Linked DNA regions of Ovis aries. The protein of the gene in region 1 purifies or fractionates together with the protein of each later gene. This does not show direct contact. Links are inferred from orthologs where the notes say so. Each region holds a gene or a part of one and is shown on either strand. Other genes may lie near its edges.

Region 1 (11,748 bases):
GCGGGAGGACGTGTGTGTGCCAGGACAGTGGGAACCGACGCCGAGGCCACAGGCAGACGCGGGCGGGGCTGGGGCTGGCCTGGCCCCGCAGGGGCTCCCCGACCTGCCCAGGCTCTCACGCTTCCTGCCAGCGGAGCAGGTCCACACCCCTCACACCCAGGGTGCCCCCGCACCCGAGGCTGGAGCAGGAAGTCAGGAGAGTGGGAGGTCCGGCTGCACCCCCAGGGCAGAGGCCACGGCAGGGAGGACAGGCCAGCACCCCCCACCCCACAGGGGGAGACAGCGGACAGCCGCGGCCCCCACCCCGCCCGAATCAGCCCTGCCCAGAGGCTGCAGGCAGCTCGGGGCTCCTGCCCAGGCCTGTTCCTAGACGCACGCGATGAGAAGGCCGCCAGCCGGCACAGGGTGGGTGGCCCTGCATTGGAGCTCCACCCGAACGTGGGCAGGGGCCTGGCCCCACAGGACTAGCCTGGTGGCTGGACGTGGTCAGGGCAGGCAACAGGCACGGGCCTGGTCCTGAGCCCTGGTCTGAAATGTTTCAGAAATAAGCTGAGGCCTCGGGGAGAGCCGGCCGGCCTCTCTCCAGGGGGCGAGTCCTGGCCGGGACCCGACCTGACCTGGCGAGGCCTGTCCCCCTGGCCTGGCCGGGCCGGGCGGACACCCATGCCCGTGCCTCTAGGGGGCCGAGCAGAGGCCCAGTGCGCCCACACCCATTCTGTGCTCCCTCCCCAGCTCCGGGGTCCGCCTGCCGCCGGGCCAGCGTGCCCCAGCCCCTCTGCCAGGAGGCCTGTCCACCTCAGGCTCACGCTGTTCCTAACTAGGGCCAGCACGGGGCCAGTTTACTGAGACCTCTGGCCAGCCCTCCGGAGTCACCCACCCTGGACAGGACATCCCCGTGACTGCCGGGGAACCTGGCTTGCTATGGTGCTGGGGACACTCCAGGCCTGCCCCGAGGGTCATAGCCGTGCTGCCCGTGGGGCACACCAAGGGTCACGCCCCTGGAGGAGCTCTCCTGAGCAGGGCACGGGCGGTGGGCCTTCCCTGGACAGGTGCCAGGACTGGCCAGGGGTGCACCTGTGGGCAAGGCCGGGCCGCCGTCAGCCCAGTGAGGGAGGGGCACGGAGGCCCCCGGGAGGGGTCAGTGCAGAGGCTTCTGGTCTGAGAGGGGGGCTGGGACCAGGGGAGCTGCGGAGAGGGCAGCTGGCAGCCCTCCAGGCTGGGGTGACGTGAGGCGTCCAGAAGCCCAGAGCCCAGCACTGCTCAGCCATTAGTGCCACGGGCCCGGGGGTCAGCACACTGGGCTCTGGACCTGAGCGCCCAGTGGGTGAGTGTGGAGCTGGAGAAGCGGCGGGGCTTCTTGGCCTCAGGTACTCACCCCTGAGTCAGGTCCAGGCCCCCACCACTGCACTCGCCGGACGGTCCCGGGGAGTGACCCCCGAGTCAGGTCCAGGCACCCCATCCCCTGCACCCGCCAGACAGTCCTGGGGAGTGACCCCCGAGTCAGGTCCAGGCACCCCCCGCACTGGACAGTCCTGGGGAGTGACCCTTGAATCAAGTCCAGACCCCCACACCCCCTGCACCCGCCAGACAGTCCTGGGGAGTGACCCCTGAGTCAGGTCCAGAACCCCCACCCACTGGACAGTGCCAGGGAGTGACTCCCAAGTCAAGTCCAGACCCCCCACACCCTGCACCCGCCAGACGGTCCTGGGGAGTGACCCCCGAGTCAGGTCCAGAGCCCCCAACCCCCTGCACCCTCCAGACAGTCCTGGGGAGTGACCCCAGAGTCAGGTCCAGAGCCCCCAACCCCCTGCACCCTCCAGACAGTCCTGGGGAGTGACCCCAGAGTCAGGTCCAGACCCCCCCACACCCTGCACCCGCCAGACAGTCCTGGGGAGTGACCCCCGAGTCAGGTCCAGAGCCCCCAACCCCCTGCACCCTCCAGACAGTCCTGGGGAGTGACCCCAGAGTCAGGTCCAGACCCCCCCACACCCTGCACCCGCCAGACAGTCCTGGGGAGTGACCCCCGAGTCAGGTCCAGACCCCCTATCCCCTGCACCCGGCAGATGGTCCTGGGGAGTGACCCCTGAGTCCGGGGCAGGACGGCGCTTCCACCTGCTAGACAGCACTGCTGGAAGGGCCCGAGTGGGCTCCAGGGCTGGGAGCAGCCCCCAGAGCGCACAGGGCCAGCGCGCTTTCCCTCCGCGGCCTTCAGGGGGGTCCTGACTGTGTCCGTTGTCACATGTGGAGAAACGGGGGCCGGGAGAGCCCAGGTGGCGGTGGGCGGGCGCCGCAACAGGGCTGGCCTTTGCGCCCAGGCCCAGGGAGGACGCCCTGCCCCTCCGGGAAGCGCGGCGGCGTGCCGGGGCTCCAGCGGGGGCCCAGGCCGTTGCATCACGCAGTGGCCTGTCGGCTCCTGGCTCCCCTGGGTCCCCACCCTTCTTCCCCCGCCCTCCAGCCTTGTCCTCAGGCTGGGGATGATGAAACCGCAGCGGCTCCAGGGGTGAGGAGCCAGAGCAGCGGCTCAGAGGAGGCTGGAGACCACCTGGGGACCCAGGGCAGGCCCCTGGGTCTCTGCCCTCTCAACAGGGCGGGATGAGCACTGTCTGGTCTGCGGCTGGGCTGGGCACCAGGCGGTCTGTGCGAGGCCCGCTGACTGTGGCCGAGCGACAGCCTTGGGCAGGTGGCACGGTGAAGCAATGGTTTCTGCTGGGAGGCCTGAGCGGTGGCCCCTGCTGGGGGCCCCTGGCCAGCTGGGGTCCCAGAGCCGAGGAGCCGCTGACAGCGCCGGGCTCCCCTCCAACCTCCAACCCCAAAGCCGGACAGCCAGGTCCTTCCTCCTCGGCCCGGCCCTCCGCCTCCCACGGCCCCCACCGTGGCCGGGCATAAAGTGGGACGTGTGTGGGTGTGGACTGAGAACCGACTCCGTGCCAGGAACTGGGCGAGGTTCTGCGGCTGCCGCAGAGAACAGAACAGACAGATGCGCCTCTGCCCCCAGGACCCTAGTGAAGGGTCAGAGAGGCCATGATGAACTGTGGCATCAAAGGGTCAGGAGAGCCAGCAGGTGCCCCGGGAGCAAGCCCCTAGGTGAAGGCCGAGAGACCACAGGCACCTGTACACCCGTATGTGTGCATGTGTGTGCGTGTGTGAGCACATGTGTGCGTGTTTGCACGGGTGTGCACGGGTGTGCAGGTGTGCACGTGTGCATCACATGTATACACGCGCGCGCGTGTGTGTGTGCATGCATGTATGGGTGTGTGCATGTCCTGTGACAGATGCAGCCTGGGGCTGGGCTTTTCCCAGCCGTTGCAGGCGGACTGAGGCTGAGGGGCGGCTCCCTCTCACTTTCTACGCAGGGCTCTGGCTGGGGGGAGGCCCCCCTGTAAAATGGGATGGCTGCCCTCCTCACCCTGGCTGAGCCTGGCTGTCCATCCAAAAAACTACACACATCACAAACAGAAGCCCCTCGTGCTCTGACGGCCCCTCTTTCCTGAGCCCACGGAGTTTCTACCCCCTGGGGAGGTGGAGGCTGGAAAGGTCGCCCACAGGCCCAGGGCCGTCCTCCCTCCCCTCCAGTCCTGGGAAACACGGAGCCTCCACCCCACCAGCCAACTCAGGCGCCCACCCCCGCAGGATCCCCAGGCACCCACCGGCCCCCAAGACTCAACACGGAAGGCCCGGCTCCAGGAGACCGTCGTGCCACCAAGCGGCCACCAGGGGGCGCCCGGCCCGCGGAGCCGCACCAAGCTGCCGAGCAGGAGGAGTGTACAGGGCTGGCCGCTGCCTTGGGAGGTCACCCTGCTTCCTTCACCCCACGTGGCGCTGGCACTCCTCTCGGTGCCTGGGCCCTGCGGGGCACTCAGGGGGGCGGGGTGCAGCCACAGGACCCCCGGGAGCTGGGGCGGAGGAGTCACAGGGAGTCCAGGCAGAGAGGCCCCGTGAGGGCGGCACCCGGAGCTGCGGCTGGCACCACGCTCCCCAGTTGCAAAGTCCCCCATCACACGCACAGCAGCGCTCTTTGCCGGTCCCGGGCCCTGAAGCGCCTGCACCCTGCAGTCCAAGGAGGCCTGGCCGCCAACCCGCCTTGCCTTCCCTAGCCTGCCCACCACGCTCCCAGCCCTTGGCGGCTGCCCAAACCCTGCCACCCTGTGTCTCGGCCTAACTGGGACAGAGGCCTGTGGGTGCGATCGAGAGTAGGACAGCCCCCAAGGACATAAAGGCCGCGTGGGAGTGGGCTTCTGAGGGGGGGCTGTGGAGTCCAGGGGTCTTGGGGGGTGCCAGCCGAGGCTGGGGCTGGGAGACCCTGGGGCTCGGGGATTCACCCAAAAGGTCAAGCATTTCCAGGCCTCCGGCCCTAGCATGGGGCAGGGTCAGGGGAGAGCCTGAACCGACTGTGCAGGGGGTCTTGTGCTGGTCCCGAGTGCCCAGACGCACCCACGAAAATTGCCCCTCCAAGGGAGGAGGCAGCTCTGACGATCAATGGCAGGTCTCTGTCAGCAGAAGCACGGGAAGGCCTGCCTGGGGGACTTGAGAGGGGGGAATCTCCAGAGCCCCGGGCAGGGGGCTGTCAAGGAGCCCAGGCAGTGTTCTGTGGGTTCTGCCCTCCTGGGGGCAGGGGTCAAGGGCCTGGCTGCCCCCCACCTCCCGTTCCCCAGCCAGGCCCGGCCATGGACGCAGTCCTCACTCTCCCCTCTCATTCAGAATTCCTGTGGCTGCGGTCCTTCCCTGTCCCCCGTGTGACAACTTTAGTGTGGTCTCTCCCCGCTCCCCACCCCGCCACCCCCCGCCCTGGCTTGGGAGGCGTCCCCAGGGCAGGAGCCTGGAACTCTGCTCCCGGCCGCCCCCCTCCACCCCGGTCCCGGGAACCCTGCACCGCCGTGCACGCCCGGTGCAGCTCTGGACACGTTTGCAGCTTGAGGAAGGAGCTTGGGGGTGGGGGGAGTGTCTGCGAGCTCCGCAGACTCCGCGCTCCCCCTCACCCCCGCTCCGGTCCGTACAGCTCCTCCGAGGCCCGCAGGAGGGTGTGCAGGACTGCGGGCAGCTGCACGGCCCAGGCCGCCTGCGACGGCGCTGCTCTTACAAAGAAACGGCACGGCCCCTGGGCGGGATCCAAGGCGCCGACCACCTGCAGCTGGACTCCCCGCCGGAGGCGGCCCGGAGCGCCAGGCGAGCACAAGCTCCCCAGGCAGGAGTCCCTGCGAGGCGGCGTTCCGCTCCCGCTGGCCGAGGTCGCGCCCGTCCGCCCCGGCCCTCGCCCCTCCCCAAGCGCACAGCTCGCTCCCTGCCTCGCCGGGGCCCCGAGGATGTCTCTGCTGGGGACCCCCGGGAATCCGCGGGCCGACCCCAGGAGCCTCCGGGGAAGGACCGCACGGCCCCGGGGGAGTCCGGAGCCCACGGCCGCGGTCTTCTGCGCCCCCACAGCCGACTCAGCGGCTCAGCCCAAGCTGCCCTGGAGGACTCGCCGGGTCGGAGAGCGCCCCGTTGGCTGCGCGGCGAGGACAGCTCCGCGGGGAAGGGGCCAGTGTGTGCGCGTCGGCGGCCGGGGAAGGCCGGGCGGAGTGGAGGAGACCCGGGCGGAGGGCGGGCGGCGCGGGGCGCGGGGGCGCAGGGCGGGAGAGAGGAGGGGGCGCAGCGGCGCTCCGGGCGCGCGGGTCACTCACCCGAGATCTCCGCCTGGGGCACATCGCTCAGGCTGAAGCCCTTGGCCCCGTAGATCTGGCGCACTTCCCCGCAGCTCCGACTCTTGCTGGCAGGGTCCCCGCGGGCGCAGGCGACCAGCACGGCGGCCGCGTACAGCAGCCACCAGCCTCGGGCCCGGAGCTCCATGGCGGTGCCGGCGGCGCCCCCGGCCGGGCCCGCGCAGCCCCCGCCCGCGAAGGGCAGAGCCAAGGTCCCCGCGCACTCGGCTGGCGGTCCGGAGGCGCCGGCGGCCTGGGAGGCGGAGACAACAAAAGCCGGCGGGGCGCGGGGCGCGCGGGGCGCGAGGTCCGGCCGCTGGCTCGGGCGGCCCCAGAGCGCGGCAGGCGAGCGCGCAGTCCGGGCCCGGCCCCTGGGCGGCGGGGCGCGGGGCGGGGCGGGGCGCGCGGGGCGGGGCGCGCGGGGCGCGCGGGGCGGGGCGCGGCGCGGGGGCGCGATCCCAGGCGCGCGGGGCGCCCCTCCGGCTCCCGGGCCTGGGGCGGGGAGCTGCCCGGCTCGCGCGGGTCTGCCGACAGCTGGAGGAGAGCGGGGTGGCGCAGAGCGCGGGGCCGCGTCCGGGGTCCCCAGGGCGGGCCCCCCACCCCCAGCGCCCGGGGCGGCGACACCACCTGCGGGGGCGGCGGCGGGGGCGCTGAGGCAGGGCTTCCCCCGCCGGACGTGACGTCACGCCTCCCGCGCGCCTATCAGGGGCCTCCCCGCCCCCCGCCGGCCGCCCGCCCAGCTTCCCGCGACTCCGCGCCGGCCCTGCCGGCCTGCGCCCTGCTGGCCGCGTGCCTCGCGCGCAGGGTCCCGCAGCCTGCTCGGCCCCCTGTGTCCGCCGCCCGCACCTGGCCCTCACCCCTTCACCGGCCCCTCACCCTCGCGCCCGTTTCAACCTCCTCGCCCGCGGCTCCAGCTCCGTCTTGATTTTTTTGTGGAGGAGGGTTGGGGGCTGTACGCGGGAAACGAGCCAAGAGAGCAGCCCGCAACCGCTCGCCTTCACGCTCAGAGGCAACCCGCTGCTTAGTTGCCGGAGATCGTCGGCCGGCTTTTGTGCCCTCCACGTGATGCTCTGGATGCTTGAGAAGCGAGAGCGGGGCAGAGGCTTGTCCGAGGGCTGGGGCCGCCGGGTGGTGGCAGGTGACCTCTTGGAGAAGGGGTGGGGTCGGGCCAGGAGCAGGTCAGGTGTATGGGGGAGGGGGGCGGAGAGCGCTCGCAGACCGAGGGGTGGCCGGGACCGCGCGGGGGTTTCGCAGTGCTGTCGGCCGCAGGGAGAGGGGACGGGGGCCGCGGGAAGGGAGGTCAGAAGCTGGGCGCTGGCTCCGGGAGGGCTGCTTCGTTTCTTCCCAGGGGCTGCCCTCCCCCGCTTCGCGCTCGTGCCCCCCTGCTCTGTGAGCATAGAGCCCAGAGGCCACCAGTCCCCGAGCCCAGACGCCTGATGGGCAGAAATGGAGTGCGAGCTCACGAAGCAGCACCCTTGGGAGGACCCCGAGACCGCCGCCGGGAGCCGGGGAGACGCCTGGGCCTTGGACCTGGGGCCCTGTTCACCTCACAGGAGCAAGCCCGCCCACTGTTGGAGGAAGGAGGGCCGCATCCCTCCCTTGGGGCTCCCAGAGTGGTGGGCGCCGCAGCCCTAGAGCGTCTCCTAGCCCCTCGCCATTGTGAGACGGGGGTGAGGCCCCGCCGTGTGCGGGCCTCCGGGCCTCCAGCCCTCCGCGTGCACCTGCTGTGTCCAGCGGGTGACTCGGGTGCAGCCCTCCGGCGGCCACTCCAGGACCCCCCTCCATCTTTGCTTCCGGATCAGGCGGGGGGGGGGGGGGGGGCTAAACCTGATCTGAGGTTTGGTGGGGTCACCCAACCTGGCTGTAGTTACTGGGGTCTGTCACCTGTAAAGTCGGCCAGACCGTGCGATTCCTCAGGGCAGGATCAGTGCACCAGAGCCTGGGGGGCCGCTCTCACGTGGCCGGCATCGAGGTGCTGGTGGTGGGCACAGCCCCTGCCCGGCCCCTCCCAGGTGTGTCCTGGCTCCATCGCCCCTAAGGTCCTCTGTTCTTTCCCCTTCAGAGCCAGGGTCCTTCCACTAGTGAAGAACTGTTCCCAGGCAGTTCTAACGTCTCATTGCCAAGACGTGGAGGCGAGCCGGGCAAGCGAGGGCCTCGGCCCCGCTGGAGGATAGCTGCGAGGGCAGCTGGGTGTGGGCGCTGGGCCCCCCTCCCGGGAGTGCGGGGCTCTGCCTATGCCCCTGTTGCTCCTCCCCACGCTGGGAGGCTGCCTGGGGAGGTGGTGGGGCGGCCAGGGTGCGGTGTGGGCTGAGGACCAGGGTCCCCCGGGGCACACCCCGCCTCCCCCCCCACCCCACGGGTACTGTCTTTCTGGCTCTCCATCACCAGGTCATTGATTGAAGGTGACAGAAAGCAGTGGGAGGGAAAGCCCATGCTTTGTCTCATCACCACCGCCAGTGGCCTCCCTGGTTCCGCCCCGGCGTGAGAGCGGCGGACCGGAGTTCAAGGCCCGGCCCCACACTCGTCGGCCGTGTGTTCAAGGCCCGGCCCCATGCTCGTCGGCCTCGTCGGCCGTGTGGTTGCAGATGCCTCACTCTCCCGGGTTTCATGTCTCCTCGTAGGGACTGAGGGCGGGGCCTGGCCATGCCCATGCAGGCTGGGAGCTGCTGTGGAGACCCAGTGCAGGGCCTGTCCTTGGGGCCAGGGGACGCTGTGGAGGGCCTGGTGTCGGCTCGTGTCCACAGGGAGGCAGGGGACTGTCCGCCTGGCTCCGGATGGGTCCAGCACCTGCCAGGAGCCTTGTGACCAGGAGCTGGAGGCCAGGCGCAGGGGCAGCTGACTGCTAGGTGGCCGTGGCTCCGGGTGGCTCTGCTGAAGGCGCAGGTCACAGGCCTTGGGGCCTGGAGAGGAGGTGCCGCCTGCACCCCCATGTTCCTTCCTCTCTTCCGAGGGAAGGGGCCCGGTTCAGGGTCATAACACCCCAGTGCCAGCTGCTGGGAGTCCACTGCTCCCGAGACACAGCTGCCTGTGCCCAGCCCCCACTCATGGCCCTGGGCCTGCCGTGCAGACTGAGCGCCCCCCTGGGAGAACGCACAGCCTGGGTCTCCGGGATCTAGGGCAAGGTTGCACTGGGGAGGGCCTCATGAGCCCACAGGTGGCTGCTGTGGCTCTGGCCAAGACCACCATCCTCTGCTCTGGGGTCCCGGTCTGCCAGACATGTGGGCACAGATGTGCGAAGGGAGGAAGGCGTGAGTGGTTTGCTCATAAAGAGAAACAGCATCATCCCTGTCGAGTGGGTGTGTGACAGGCTGGATTTGCCCTCTGCTGACACCAAGTGCGGGCTGAGAAGAAAAGGACCATTTAGAGTCGTCTCAGAAGGGGGCGTGTGCTCTCCCACGTTTCCGTCTCCTTGAGGAGTGACCCGGAGGGGCAGCGCCCTGCCCCCCACTTCCTGTTTCTGGCCGGTGAGGGGCTGGCGGCCAGGGTTGCTCAGAAGCCACGGGAGCCAGCTGTTAGGGCTGCGGGCCTGGCGGGCTCCACCCCGGACCCCGCAGGCTGGGGCTCCCCCTGCAGCTGCTGGGGGGTAACGGGATTTGTGTCTGGTGGGCATCTTTTGGGACCCCCAAGGCAAGTGCCCAGGTGGACTGAGCAGTTAAGTTCACCTCCATCCACAGGACTGTCTCTGCCCGCCGTGCCCCCAGCGAGACCCTCTCCCGCTGGCAGGACAGGGCGGGGTCAGGGGGCGCTGGGCCCAGGACAGCTGGGCTGCCGCTGACCTGCTGGGGCCCCAGAGCTGCTGTGATGCCCTGGGGGTGGGCGGAGGGCACAGGGTCCCCCCACCTCTGTAGGGAGCTGGGGGCTGCTGGGCAGCAGGCTGAGAGAGGGAGTGGGCACCTCGGGCATGGCTGGAGGAGATGAATGGGACTCTGGTGGAGCAGAGACTTCTGTGGGCAGGAGTCCTCAGGGTCCCTGGTGGCTCCCCGAGCCTGGGGGGTGAGGGGGCGCCCTCCTGGGCCTCGTGGCTGCTGCTGGTCTGCTCCCGAACGCTTCTCGTCGCTCACGCATCCCTTTGGGAACGCGTCTCTTGTCCTTATAAAAGATCTCGCCCCAGGATGTTAGGGCAGAATCCCCAAGGTGTGGCACTGGCCTGGGCTCTGCCCAGCAGCGTCCTGGAGGCCCCGCAGGCGAGGGTCTCGTCCTCAACCCCCAGAAGGCCGACTCGGCTCTGAGTCTGAACTACTCCCCTAAATCGGGGTGGGGGACGCCCCTCTGAAGCAGGGAGGGTGGAGAAGGCCCACGCTGAGCACGGGGTTTGCAGGTCAGACGAAATGGGGGTGTCGTCCCCAAGGGCCGTCCTGCCCGTCCCCCGTCCCTTGCTCCAGCTCCTGCAAGGGCTCGGAGCTCAAGGCGGACACCTAGGCAGCCCGCTCAGCTCCGCGGGGCCCTTTGATCAGCCAGAAGCCTGGGCAGGCCTCCCAGGCTCCTGAGGCTCGGGCACGCGGGCGGGGCTGGGCAGGAGCTGTGGGCGGGTGCCCGAGTGTAGGGTCCACGCACCCCCAGGAGGAGGTGGCTGTGTGCTCAGGTCTGGGCCCACCTGGCACAGCCTCCCCTGAGCCTCCTTCCCCACCTGGTTCCTGGCCTGGCCCCGGAGGAAGGGCTGAGCTGGGACCCAGGACACCCAGGCACCGTCTGACGTGTTGGGGCAAAACCCTCTTGGTGTGCCCGGCATGGGAACTGCTGCTTTCCGGGGTCCCCGCCAGGCCTCCCTGCCTGTCTGGCTTCTGTCTGTCCTGCACCATCTCCAGTCCTTCACGCCTAGTGATGCCAGAGAGCTCCCAGCCGCTCCTCACCTCACGGCCAGCCAGCCCATTGAACCAAACCAAGCCACCCTCTCCTCCCCAGACATCTGTGGCGTGTCCTGGAATCTTCCACTAGTCTCAGGCAGGTCTGAGGTTGCTTCCAGCTCCAGAGGCTTGGGGCCCAGGGCGTGTGTGTCCAGGCAGGGGCGGCACCTGAGGGTCTTGGTGAAGGTGGTCTCCTAAATGTGAGGTCTCCCGGCGTCTCTCCATCACTATTGCCCAAAGGGCTCCACAGCCCTCTGGATCCCCCGAACAAAGAGCAGTTTCCAGGGCCTGGCCAAGTTCAAGGCGCCCTCTGAGAAGCCAGTGGAGGACTCACCCTGGGGCGGAGCGGGCCCAGAAGGCCCATCATGTGGCCGGATGAGACCCGGGATCCCAGCCATCACTTTTAGGAAGACACAGACCCGCGTCTGAAACAGGCCATCCCCTTGACCCCCGGAGGGGACCTTGCCCGCTCACCCAGGTGTGCCCTGGGCTCTTGCAGGCGAGATGCCAATGTGCCTGGAACGCAGGGACTCTGCTGGGCCGCGCGGCTACGGGAAGGTGCCCAGGAACCGACCCTGGCTGGCCCCACCTTTGCTGCTCCTGACGAAGGGGCTGTGGGGGCAGGGCCGTGTTTCCGAGGGTCTTCTCTGGGGAGGGTGAGGGAAGGGGCCAGGGTGGGGCCCTGGTCAGCTGGCCTGGGGGGAGCCATCCCCCTTTTGGGAGCCAGGCGCCATGGACTGGCGAGTGGGAGGTGACTGTGGCCTCCTGAGCAGCCTTGGCGAGCAGCCCGCTGGCTGGGGGCTGCACACCAGGCTGAGAAGGACCCCACCTGTGTGGTGCCAGGGCCCAGAGCTGCCTGCTAAGTGTGATGCTGGGGGGCAGTGCAGGACCTTCTCCGGGGTGGAGTTGGGTGTTGCTCTGCAGGGTCCCAGGAGCAGGGTCTTGCAACCTTGGCAGGAGAGCTGAGACCTGGGTGCAAACTGAGGGCTCTTCTGGACCTTGAGGGGAGGCATTGGCAAGCGAGGCTGCAAGAAGGTTCCAGCCCCACGCGGTCTGCCGCTGAGACTGCTGAGGCCTGACTGTGCAAGAGGAAAGCCCTCCAGGGTGGGGGGGACATCTGATGCTGAGCCCGGGACCCCCGGCTCAGGAGAACGGGCTGCTGGCGAGACGCAGAGGCCCTGAAGCCCGTGGATGGCGGGGGGCGCTTCCAGAGATGGGGTTATGCTGCA
Region 2 (11,212 bases), on another chromosome or scaffold:
CAGTGATTCCCAACTGCAGTGATTTTGCTCCCCACCCTCCCCAGAGGACATTTAGCAATGTCTGGAGATATTTTTGGTTGTCCCAACTGTGTGTATATGGTGAGACAGGGAGAGCCGGTAATGAGGGGGGTTGTTTGCTACTGTTATCTAGTGGACAGAGACCATGCTAAACACTCTACAACACACAGCATAATCCTGCCAGCCAAACAAAGAATTACCTAGCCCAAAGTGTTACTACTGCCAAAGCTGAGAAATCCTGCTCTAGATCCAATGACGAACTCCTCCTCTGATCTAATCATGTCTATACAGCACTCACTTGGCTCTTGATGAAACAATGCCAAGCTGAATCTAGTGTCTAGAATGCATCATCTCCTTCCTCACTACACTTAAACTTCTGGAGGAAAGTAATAACATTGGATATTATTCTTTGTTCATTTACAAAACCATCTAGTATTAGGTTACTAATCCTCTATGTGCTAGATTAAAAAACTAGGGAACAAACACTCAAAACCAAAGGACACTGACTGGTGTGGACTATGCACCATGTACAACGTTGTGCATCAGTTATCTCCCCCAGTGGATCTTGGCATAGAAAGATAAGAAGGAGGGCTCCAGTCCTGACCAACCATGGTTTTCCATAAACGAAGTTACCCAGTTTAGAAAATACTTCCAATCATGAAGTCTAAAAGATTCTAACCTAAAAATAACTGACCCCTTGCTTTTTCAAAGTCTGGGAGGAAAAGCCATAAATAAAGGCTTTTAAATGCAAGATGTTTATACTTTTACATATCTTATTCATCTTGGTCAGCAACAAATAGATTCTATTATCTGGTGAAAAATCAAATGTGTTTCCAGCAGGGTTAAAAGAAAAAAAAAAAACAGATTATAGCCAGCCTTCCTTTGGATTGTAGTCCCACAATGAAATGCTACAGGTAGGAAGTTTTGTTGGTAACACAAGTAAAACAGATAGAAAAAATCTGTAGAAAACAAAATTTTCCCCAGCTAAATAGCAATAAGTTATCCAGAGGTAAATTAATTCTCCATTGTACAGTTCACTTCTCAAGAAACACAGTTTTCCTCTTGGAGAGATTTTATAGATAAGGTCTCAAGGTGACTAAATAAATGAATAAAATTTTATTATTAAAGAAGAAAATATATCAAAGTATGATTAATGATAGTATCTGATGAGGGGAAGTGATTCTAGTCTTATTTTCTACATACTTTTTGTATTTTCCATAATTTCCATAATAAGCACATAAATAAAACCTGTAAACATTATTTTAGGGGGAAAAAAATTTGGATATAAATAGCTTCTTTCGTTCAAAGTACTCTCAGGGTTGAAGCTGTACTCCCCGGCCCTCAAAAATGGGCTTTTTTTTTCCAGTTGTGTGTCATCAGAAAAATCACTCTAAGACTGTTTCGAATTAAGATAAATCAAACATTCTTGGATGAATTTGTTTCTAAGAAAATAACTTTCTGGAAGGTATTAAGCTTCTGTGACCTACCTGCCCTCCAGCTGCACAGGCGGCAACTAGACCATACTGGCCTCCTTCCTTCCGTAACCTGTTGGCAGCTGCCATGACCAACCGACAGCCAGTGGCTCCGAACGGGTGCCCCAGGGACAGTGATCCACCCCAGTTGTTAAACTTCTCCAAAGGAGGCAATCCAACCTGGCTCCCACAAAAACAAACACAAATAAAAAAGACGAATTTACTTAAAAATCAGGCCAGGCTCTGAGTAACAGGAAGTAATAGCAATAGAGGGAAATAACTTTCTTAAAGACCCACCATATACTATTTTACTACAAAAGAAATTCCAAATCAATTCTGAAAGCCAAGGGCCCTGTTTATTTTTCATCTGACATCAGAGTGGATGAACCAAAGACAATTTGAATTCTTCCTTTTATTTTTTCCAAAGAACTTCCAGGAGCTATTTTTCAACTAAGAAATAAATACATGAAATAACACACAAAAATTTTCCAAAGAAGCAGCAGCCTTCCTCTTCATATTTTTATTAGCAGGTATTAAAGTTCCAAATATTATAGTGCTTTGGAAATTCAAAGGTTTGCTTTGCAGGGTCGGGGGAGGCCACACTGTGAGGCATGCAGGATCTTAATTCCCCGACCAGGGATAGAACCCACACCCCGTGCAATGGAAGCATGGAGCCTTAACCACTGGACTTCCAGGAAAATCCCTCAAGCCTATCTTTTTTTTCCTCAAGCATATTTTTAACCAGAAACTTACCTTGGCTTTTCTACCCATGTAGTTTTGTGCAAACCAATCAGAATCCATGGCCTTCAAATTAGCCAAAATCTGACCCTAGAAAGGAAAATAAATCAATAAGGACCTTCTTGTAGTAAAATCCCTCAAGACTTTCTTTCATGCATGAGTCTGTCTAACTTCAGTGCTAAGCAAATCTTTAAATCAGTTTTCCGTGAATATTTTCTAAAGAACCAACCTGATACTTCTGAAGGGCCTCAAAGAGATAGCTTCAAAAGATATGTTTTTCAACACTGTGGGTGTAGCCCTGGATTTCCTCCCAGTAGTGTTAAGTCAGTACTTCAAACATAAAGCTCTACTTGTTTCACACATATTAAATGATTATAGTCCTTTGATATGTGTCTTTAAAGTGACTTACTGAGAAAGCTTCATGAAATTCAAAAGCGTCAATATCATTCATTGTTAATCCTGCCTTTTCCAGAACTTTTGGAGTAGCATATGTTGGTCTGAAAAGAAAAAACTCAGTGATACGATATTAAAACTTTCATTTTTAACTAAAGAACTCTTTCATATTCCCCAAACTGAATTTTACATAGTTATTAGAAGGTCCTCTACTCATTCACTGATTCTACGGTACAAACAAAGTGTTGTTGATACAACAGTAAACTGAACAGACACGGCCTCTGCCCTCTGCAGTTGATATTCTAGACTCAGAGAAAGAGATAATAAGCAAGTAGACAATAAAAGAGAAGGGCAAGTTAATCATGTGAAGAGCCAGAAGAACACAGAGCTCAAATGGCAGAGCATAAGGGGCATGGCTGGTTAAGTGACATGATGGAGGCTAGTGAAGGTACAGCCTTGCGAGGAAGGGAGAGGAGTCTATCTAAACATTAGGAGGCTTTCATAAAAAGCTATTCTGATTGTGTTGCAGAGTAAGTAGCAGTATAAAAAAATGCTTATGACATCTTAATGTAAAAAAGGATATAAAGTTGTATATATGTGATAACTGTAGTAGAAAAGCATAGGAACAAGTAGAAAAGTTATAAAACGATAACACAACATAAAGGATTATTATTTTAAAAACCCAATTTACAAAACAATTATGAACTCAGTGCTTTATATACTTTTAAAATCTATGTAATAAACATGGGTAACCAATATTTTCTAGAATAATCCAAGAATATACATTGCTACCTACCCAAGTAAAAGCTGATCTTTTGGATCCTGGGACACGTACATGAAATCCCTAGATATAAAACAGAAGGGTGAGCTCTGTACTAAAGTAAAGAAACCAGAGGAAACTTACTTGAATACTTACTTTACCTCAGATATGCCTTTGGCTTATAACCCATGGCCAGAGCTTTTTCCTCTGCCATAATAAGCACTGCAGACGCACCATCAGTCTGAAATATTAATTGGAACAAAAATGTTAAATAACTGCAGCCTACCTGGTGCTATTTCTTCAGCCGTCTTCTATACTCTGTTCCTCAATTTACCAACGCATCACACTTACAGAGTGACTCTCTGTAACAAAATCTTCCCATTTTATCCATCATTAAATCACAATTTTACACACATACTGACCCATTTTTGGCAGATGAGGGTAGAAAAGTCTATTCAAAAAGTATCATAATTATCAAAATGAATGATGAGAATTGGTAACTCAATAGTATTCATAATAAACTAGAAGTTTTTTGCTTTTGGCACAGAATATGAGGAATTTTATGAATTAATCCTCCCCCAAATCTCTTCTTTACTGATTTATTTTTATATTTTCTGGACTGCTTCTCAGCTGTTTCCTGCCTGTGGCTTGTACATGATTTTCTTCAATTTAAAGACTCTATAACAAGCAAACCAAGAAGAAGAAGTGAGGGACAAATTAGTACTACTCACAAAAGCCCTTTACTACTGTTTCAAAAGAAAAAGCTAAAAAAAAAAAAAACACACACAAAAATTCCAAAGGAAAAGAAACTACTCTCTAGAACTGACAAAATTAAAACAATCTCTACCGTAATTTCAGACCATATTTTTGTAACTCAGTAACTCTGAAGAGGCTATGCAGCCACTACCAATAAGGTGGCCATAAAGTCTGGAAACACAGGTGACTATACCTAATAACATCACATTACTATATTCAATGTGCAATTGTGAAAAACTTCAATGAATACGGTACATTAACAGCATCTCTGAAAACCCATGTATCTGTGATGTATTACCTCTAATGACTCGTGTTTCTGATTTTGATGAATAAACCTGAACCTTCTGCACATCTCACAAGTATTCAAGGGGGTTCAGATCTGCCAAGAGTGTAACCGATGCCATATGAACCTATCATCCAATTTGGTTTTAGAAATAACCACCTAACCAATCCTTCACTGCTCAGGCTTTACCAGGTGGTACACCATCCTGTTAAAATCACCTCAGGTATTCTTTCCTAAGCTCAAGAGCAGGCATTAAATTGTCATTTATCAAGGTCAAATAAGTAAAACATTTGCCTGTGTTTCTTTCTAGACTGTATGTCTGGGTAGAAGAATGATACTGTAAGAAGAAACACTGACCAGATTAACTATATCCTGAAGACTGCACCCAAGGTAGTATGAGGGAAATCACATCTCACAGCAGAAGCAGAATCAAGAGGGACATTTAATAGAGGAGGAAAGAAAAAAAGCCCAAGCAAGGACATGAAGCTACCTGCATATAAGTAAAATAACAACCAAAAATGCGGGTAGATTTACTCCATGATGCTTATAGGAAAGTAATTTGGGGGTCAGCATAAAACATAATTTTCTAATAATCAGAACTAGAAAAAGTATCTTGTCATTCTCTCTGCCTACTTTTCAAGTCTTATGTTGCTCAGTTGCTAAGTTGTATCAGACTCTCTGTGACCCCATGGACTGCAGCACGCCAGGTTTCCCTGTCCTCCAAGTTGTAGATGACTCCCTAAATTCATATCCTGTGTTCCGACCAGGCTTTTCTCCAGAGGCCCTTTGCTCTCCTAACTCTCAAAGTTGCATTTGCCATTCCCTTTGCCTAGAAAGCCTTTTATACACTTCTTGAATTGGCTTGTACTCTTCCTTCAAGATTCACTGATCAAGTATTACCTCCTCTAAGAAGACTCTCTTACTCACCCAACTATGTATCTTCTCCAAGAGTCAATGCTTACAGTCATCACAGAACTTTCTCACTACAATTAACTATTCTTTTTATCTCCAGTGCCCAGCACAGGCAGGCAAAATTTTTTGACTGCTGAAGTGACTGAAGAGAACAGCTTTTTTTTTTTTTGAGAACAGTGTTTTTGTATTAGAATGCTGACTGGATCAGGGGACTTTCATAGCTTTAAAAACTGATTCTATTTTAATAGTCTTTGTAATAGGTAAGTATATTTTATTTATTTTTGGCTGTGCTGGGTCTTTGTTGCTGCATAAGGGCTTTCTCTAGTTGTGGCAAGTGGGGGCTACTCCCTAGTTGTGGTGGGCAGGCTTCTCATTGTGGTGGCTCTCTTTGTTGTGGAGCACAGGCTCTAGGCATGTGGGCTGTGGCCAACAGTAGCTGAGGCAGGTGGGCTCATGAAAAGCTGTTGCTGAACCACGAAAATACGTCAGGATTCTTGGCCTCCAGAGGAGAAGAATTCAATCTGGGGCCAGAGACGAGGCTTGAAAGCTCAGAGCTTTTGCGTACTAAAGTTTTATTAAAGTATAAAGGAGATAGAGAAAGCTTCTGACATAGGCATCAGAAGGGGGCAGAAAGTGTTAGTGTTAGCAATGGAGTTATACACTCTCCAATTAGTCATTACAATGAATCAAAAGAATGTCTGGAGGTTGTAAAGACCTCAGCAGACCTACTCCCATAATTTACTATAAGATAACAGGATTAGCCAGAAGGTTTAATCCAGAGACTGTCCTCAGGCAGGATACATTATTGTTATATAATCCTAAGGAATGTAGAGGAAAAAAAAAAAAGTTTGTTCTTTCTTCCTCCTTGAGAATTCCAGACCCCTCTCTCCTGGGGACCCCTGGACTTACCAACCTGCCTAGGAAATGACTCTCATTCCGTAGTTGCGGCTGGTGGGCTCTAGAGCTCTGGCTCAATAGTTGTGGTGCATAAGTTTAGTTGCTCCGCAGCCAGTGGAATCTTCCCAGACCACAGATTGAACCTGTGTCCCCTGCATTGGCAAGTGGATTCTTATCCACATTGCCACCAGGGAAGTCTGAGTAAGTATGTTTTTAAGTCTCTATTCATAATACACACAAGTACATTTATTTTAGGCTTTCCTATTGAGAATACACAAATATAAAAGATCATTGCTGCTGCTGCTGCTGCTGCTAAGTCGCTTCAGTCATGTCCGACTCTGTGCAACCCCATAGACACCAGACTCCCCCGGCCCTGGGATTCTCCAGGCAAGAACACTGGAGTGGGTTGCCATTAAATAGCACACAGTTACCAGGAAAGAAGAATTTGCAGCTGTCACTGTGCCATAGGGCTTGATGAATGCAGGTTTTAGTTTGGCCATCTGATCCAGAGAGGAAGGACGAATGCCATTATCTTGTGTAACTGTATCTCTTCCTATAAAAATATGAAATTTTTAACTCTAAGCTCAATAAGCATTATGTATCTTCTACAGAGAAATATGCTTTAAAATTACAAGAACAAATAAAATATAAACCATAACTATTCACTAAAAAGAAGGCTCTTTATAGTTATCAAGATATTACCAAATATGAAAGCAAACTCTTAAGACATTTGGGAAATAATCTAAATGATTTAACATTAAAAAGGATAACTTATTTTCTCAAGATATTTATTTATATTTGGCTCTTCTTTACAGAAGTCTTATAAATACAGAACTTTAAAAACAGGCATGCACATAAGAACTAAAATATATCTGCCAGACCTAAAGGAGATTTATAAAACATCTCTTTAAAATGCTTACATATGTTACAACAAAAATTGAAACCTGAGTCAATGTTTAAGAATAAAAGCTGAGTATTTTGGAAATATTCATTGAAAAGTCACTTAGGGTTTTTGGAGTTTTAGAAGAAATTCAGAACTCTCTAACAATATCAAGAAGCATTTCCCTTTACAAAGCTGAGTGAACTGTTTTACCTGGTACTTTGAAGGGCACAACATCAGAAAGGAGTCCTTCATCCTGTGCCCTTTTGGCCAGGCTGTGAGAGCGCAGTGCGTATTCATCCTGCTCCTCCCGAGAAATAGCAAAGGCAGCAGCCAATCGGTCTGCAGAGTGGCCCATGGTCTCACTGGTGGAGAACTCACTCACTGCAGGAAGCTGGGAAAGGAGATAATCGGGACCAGGTACACTGTTATATAACAGGTGCTATACCACACCTAGGGCTGTCTGGGAAAGTTAAAGTCTACGATCAATCAAGATCAAGACAAGGGAAGTTCTTTGTGCGCAAGACATCTCTAAAAAGGGCTTACAAATTCAAATCTTCTGCTATTTTTTTCTCTGTCTTGACCTAATAATTAACCTTTTCTTGTAACTAACAGAATTCACAGCTATTAGAACATAACTGAACCCATGCCATCTTATCTAACACTAAATCTCTGCAGTGGGATGCTTTGGCAACACAAGTCTTTATGTTAGCATTCAGGAGTCTTACCTCTGGCGATAGGAAATTCAATCTGAATTTAGAGATTACAGAGAGTCGCTGAGCCAGAGTCTTGGCCTTATTGAGATCCAGCATCATTTTCCTCATTTTCCTTGAATGGCGAATAGGGATGTCAGACATCAACTCTACACCACCTGCCACGACCACATCACACTGGCCGGAGGCAATCAGGCCGACAGCTATAGGGCACAGGCACAGGTTGTATGCACATGAGTATCTGTTGCATAAACTAAGAGACCACTGGCAATTTAAGCTTCTTTTTATTTTTCTTAAATTTAGGCTGGACTTAAAAATTGTACGATAGTTATTAGCATTGTACAACATGTGTAATGCTGGTTTTTATCTTTTCAGAGGGATTAGGATAATTTTTTTGAATGACTCAAAATACATTCAATGCACTAGAGAAAAACAAGTTTCATTCAGGCTACAGGGACATCAACCTTCAGAAGTATCCACTGGACCAATTCTCAAACAAATCATATCTAAAGTAGAATATGTGGCATATTTCATATGTTCCCAGCTTCAGTTTTGGTAACAACTCTTTATCCTATAAAGAGAATTTCGGTTTCTACTACAATCTAGATAAAGTATGGCTTTTAGATGTAAGGCAGCCCCCTGCCCTCTGGCCACGGGCAAGCATTATGTTGCTCTAACTGGAAGCAGTCACATGCTGTGCAGAGTGGAGAATGCCCCCATTTCTGCCTCCAGCTTATTCCCTGCCACCTTTATGGTGCGCTGGCCACTTGGCCTTGATGTCACTAAGAGCGTACATGATCACTGTATCTTTCAGGTTTCCTGTCTTTTCACAGTAAGGGCTGGTGCTACAAAATGTTCCACAGATTTGCTAAGTTTATTGTGAGAATTTGTAAATAATTATAAAAAGGCCAAGATGTGGGGGGAAAGTAGAGCAAAGAGCTGTACCATCCAAGTCAGTGATTTATCGCTATGATGATGATAGAGGGAGGAGGGCCACCATCTTCATGGGCGAGTATCATGCTAGAATCACCTAATCTTAAAACCTAGCAGGTGATAAACTCCTCCTGCCTCAAATCCAGAAGCACCTCCTCCGTTTAATAATCCCTGTGATAGCCAGCCACACTACTGATGAAGAAACTACACAGATGGTTGTGGTCCTCACGTATGGAGGGCAAGAAAAAGGTGGAGAACTACTGTCAAAAATAAAAAAATGTAAATGGTACCTTATTTTCTGAAACACACAAATTCAGAGATCATTTATTTCTGTTAAGAATAATGTTTAATGATCATAGAAAAGACAAAGGAGAACCAACATGTACCTTCTGCTGTCAAAAAAAAACCCAACATACCTGTGGTCATGGCTTGGTTGGAAGAGATGCAAGCCATGGTGACAGTGTGAGCAGGAGTCTTGTCAGAGAAGCCGGCTCCGAGGGCAGCCTTCAGGAAATACAGTGAACGCAATGATCACTTATAAAGGAAGTGCAATATGTGAATATGAGCGGTGCTGTGAGCAGTACTTCACTGTATGGTAAATCAGGAAAGGAGATAATATCTCACAGAGGAGAGGAATATTTAAAATACAACTGAGTCCATCATGGAAATGGTTTATGAATTTTTTATCTAGTCGTTAATCAACAAGCACTGCCAAATTCCTTGCAATGATTTTCTAGTGTGGTATACAGCCTACAGTCCTCTGGCAGTTTACCTCCTCTCTTAGCAATGCTTTTCCCGGCACTTCTAAGAACATTAGTATATAATTTGATTTTAACTCATTTAAATTTTCAAATAGACCTAAAGCAAACCTGCTCCATATGGTTGGTGGAATGATGAAATATATCATGGGGTGAGATTCTCATGACCTGTGTTCCTGCAGTTATAAGGCTTAGAAGTAAAGCAAAGTCATCAGACATGAAAATAATTTCTAAAGACTTGGCCATTCATCAACAGATTCCCACACAGGTCCCTGACTTGCTCTACGTTTGTCTCTACTTTCACTGACTGCCTGATATTTCAGGCAGCGCACTGTCCATCCAAAGCAAAGCCGAGTTGGAAAACATGCCAAGTATCCAAGAGTTCAAGTGAATGAAAAAATTTTGGAAACATGCCTTGGCCACAAGTGAGTCTGAAAAATAAGGACTGGACCAGTTAACAACTGGAAACAAGGAAACTGGTCAGGAAGATGACATAAAAGGTGTTTCAAAGAGAATTAATTTGAAGGACTTCGAGAAAAACTGAGGCCCTCCATTAATCTTGCAAGAATGGAAATAAGGATATCTATTATTTTATTATACTATTTATTGAGTTAATTACACTGCCCCCCCCCAAAATGAATGCCTGATTCTATTTTTGTTCATGTAAAGAACTGATGCATAGGTACAAAAATAAAATATTCAATACTTATTTTTATAATATTAAAGTTTCACTTTAAAAACAAAGCTCTCAACACCTCATGTCCCTGACCACCACCACTTACTATGAAATTATGGTTCCTATTAAGGGAATTAATTTTTTATGAAACTATTTAATGATCCTCAGAATACAAGATTTCCTATCATTTGATAAGATTAACATGCTTCCAAAGCTGAGATTAGAGGGTTCAGTTTCCTAACTGATTTTCAGCTTTATACTTCACTTTGCTGAAAAGTATCTACTGGCAACTGCACGTCAGCCTCTTGATGTAAACCAACCCAAAAAGAAGAGAAAGGCAAGTCTCCACTGGGAAGGGGAGAAGAGCTTCCCAGTGAGGCAAGGGTAAAGGGCGCTCAGGTCGTAATGGCCTGATCCTCATGCAATCCTTTCTAGCAAGTGTCACACCCTTGGCCCCAAGTGACTCTCAGGACTGAAGGAACTTTAAGTAGAAGTGGTTGCTGGTGAACCTTGTCTCTGCGCTTCTATTTTAAGTTTGAATAGATCTCAAGGCAAGCTTAGGCTCTAGATGGTGCAATGAAGGGAAAGGAGGAAGATGTCTCTTAGGTAAATTGGAGAGCAAGGAAATAAGCTGAGGCTTTCAATAAAGTCAGGTTCATGGGAACTCAGCATTAGAAGTCTTTCAGGATTTTATTATTACACTGTTAACACAGAAAAGAGGTTCTGAAAGTTTTCCTGCTGGAAGTCACAGCAGCCTTCAGGTTGCAAAATGACTTTAAAAAGACATTCTTATATTCCCGGAGTTCAGCCTTTAGTATTATTAGTACAGGGCCAGGAGAGGAATCTACCACATATCAATCAATAGCTGAGATTTGCACATGGATATAAAATTTCCAGAAAAAAAATTTAGAAAAAAACAAGGCTAGATATATATATCTAGATATATCAAGAATAGACATATAGAGAAGATGGAAACAGATTCAACATTTACTTTTAAGTGCTCTTGTAAGAGTCACTTTGGGT

What was found.
Region 2: the proteins of GPC1 (region 1) and HADHB purify together in Homo sapiens (co-immunoprecipitation; 3 studies listed by BioGRID and IntAct, counting the BioPlex papers as one, with this or other methods). This does not show direct contact. The link is inferred for Ovis aries from reciprocal best matches to the Homo sapiens genes GPC1 and HADHB.

The regions. Positions count from the first base shown.
Region 1 is NC_056054.1:1,128,047-1,139,794, forward strand, and holds the start of GPC1 (glypican-1), read right to left. Parts: upstream 6,009-11,748; 5' UTR 5,824-6,008; coding exon 5,658-5,823; intron 1-5,657. UniProt on the Homo sapiens protein: Cell surface proteoglycan that bears heparan sulfate. Binds, via the heparan sulfate side chains, alpha-4 (V) collagen and participates in Schwann cell myelination.
Region 2 is NC_056056.1:33,479,607-33,490,818, reverse strand, and holds part of HADHB (trifunctional enzyme subunit beta, mitochondrial), read right to left. Parts: intron 9,260-11,212; coding exon 9,172-9,259; intron 8,026-9,171; coding exon 7,838-8,025; intron 7,504-7,837; coding exon 7,323-7,503; intron 6,783-7,322; coding exon 6,661-6,782; intron 3,623-6,660; coding exon 3,543-3,622; intron 3,466-3,542; coding exon 3,418-3,465; intron 2,726-3,417; coding exon 2,638-2,725; intron 2,319-2,637; coding exon 2,244-2,318; intron 1,671-2,243; coding exon 1,461-1,670; 3' UTR 1-1,460. UniProt on the Homo sapiens protein: Mitochondrial trifunctional enzyme catalyzes the last three of the four reactions of the mitochondrial beta-oxidation pathway.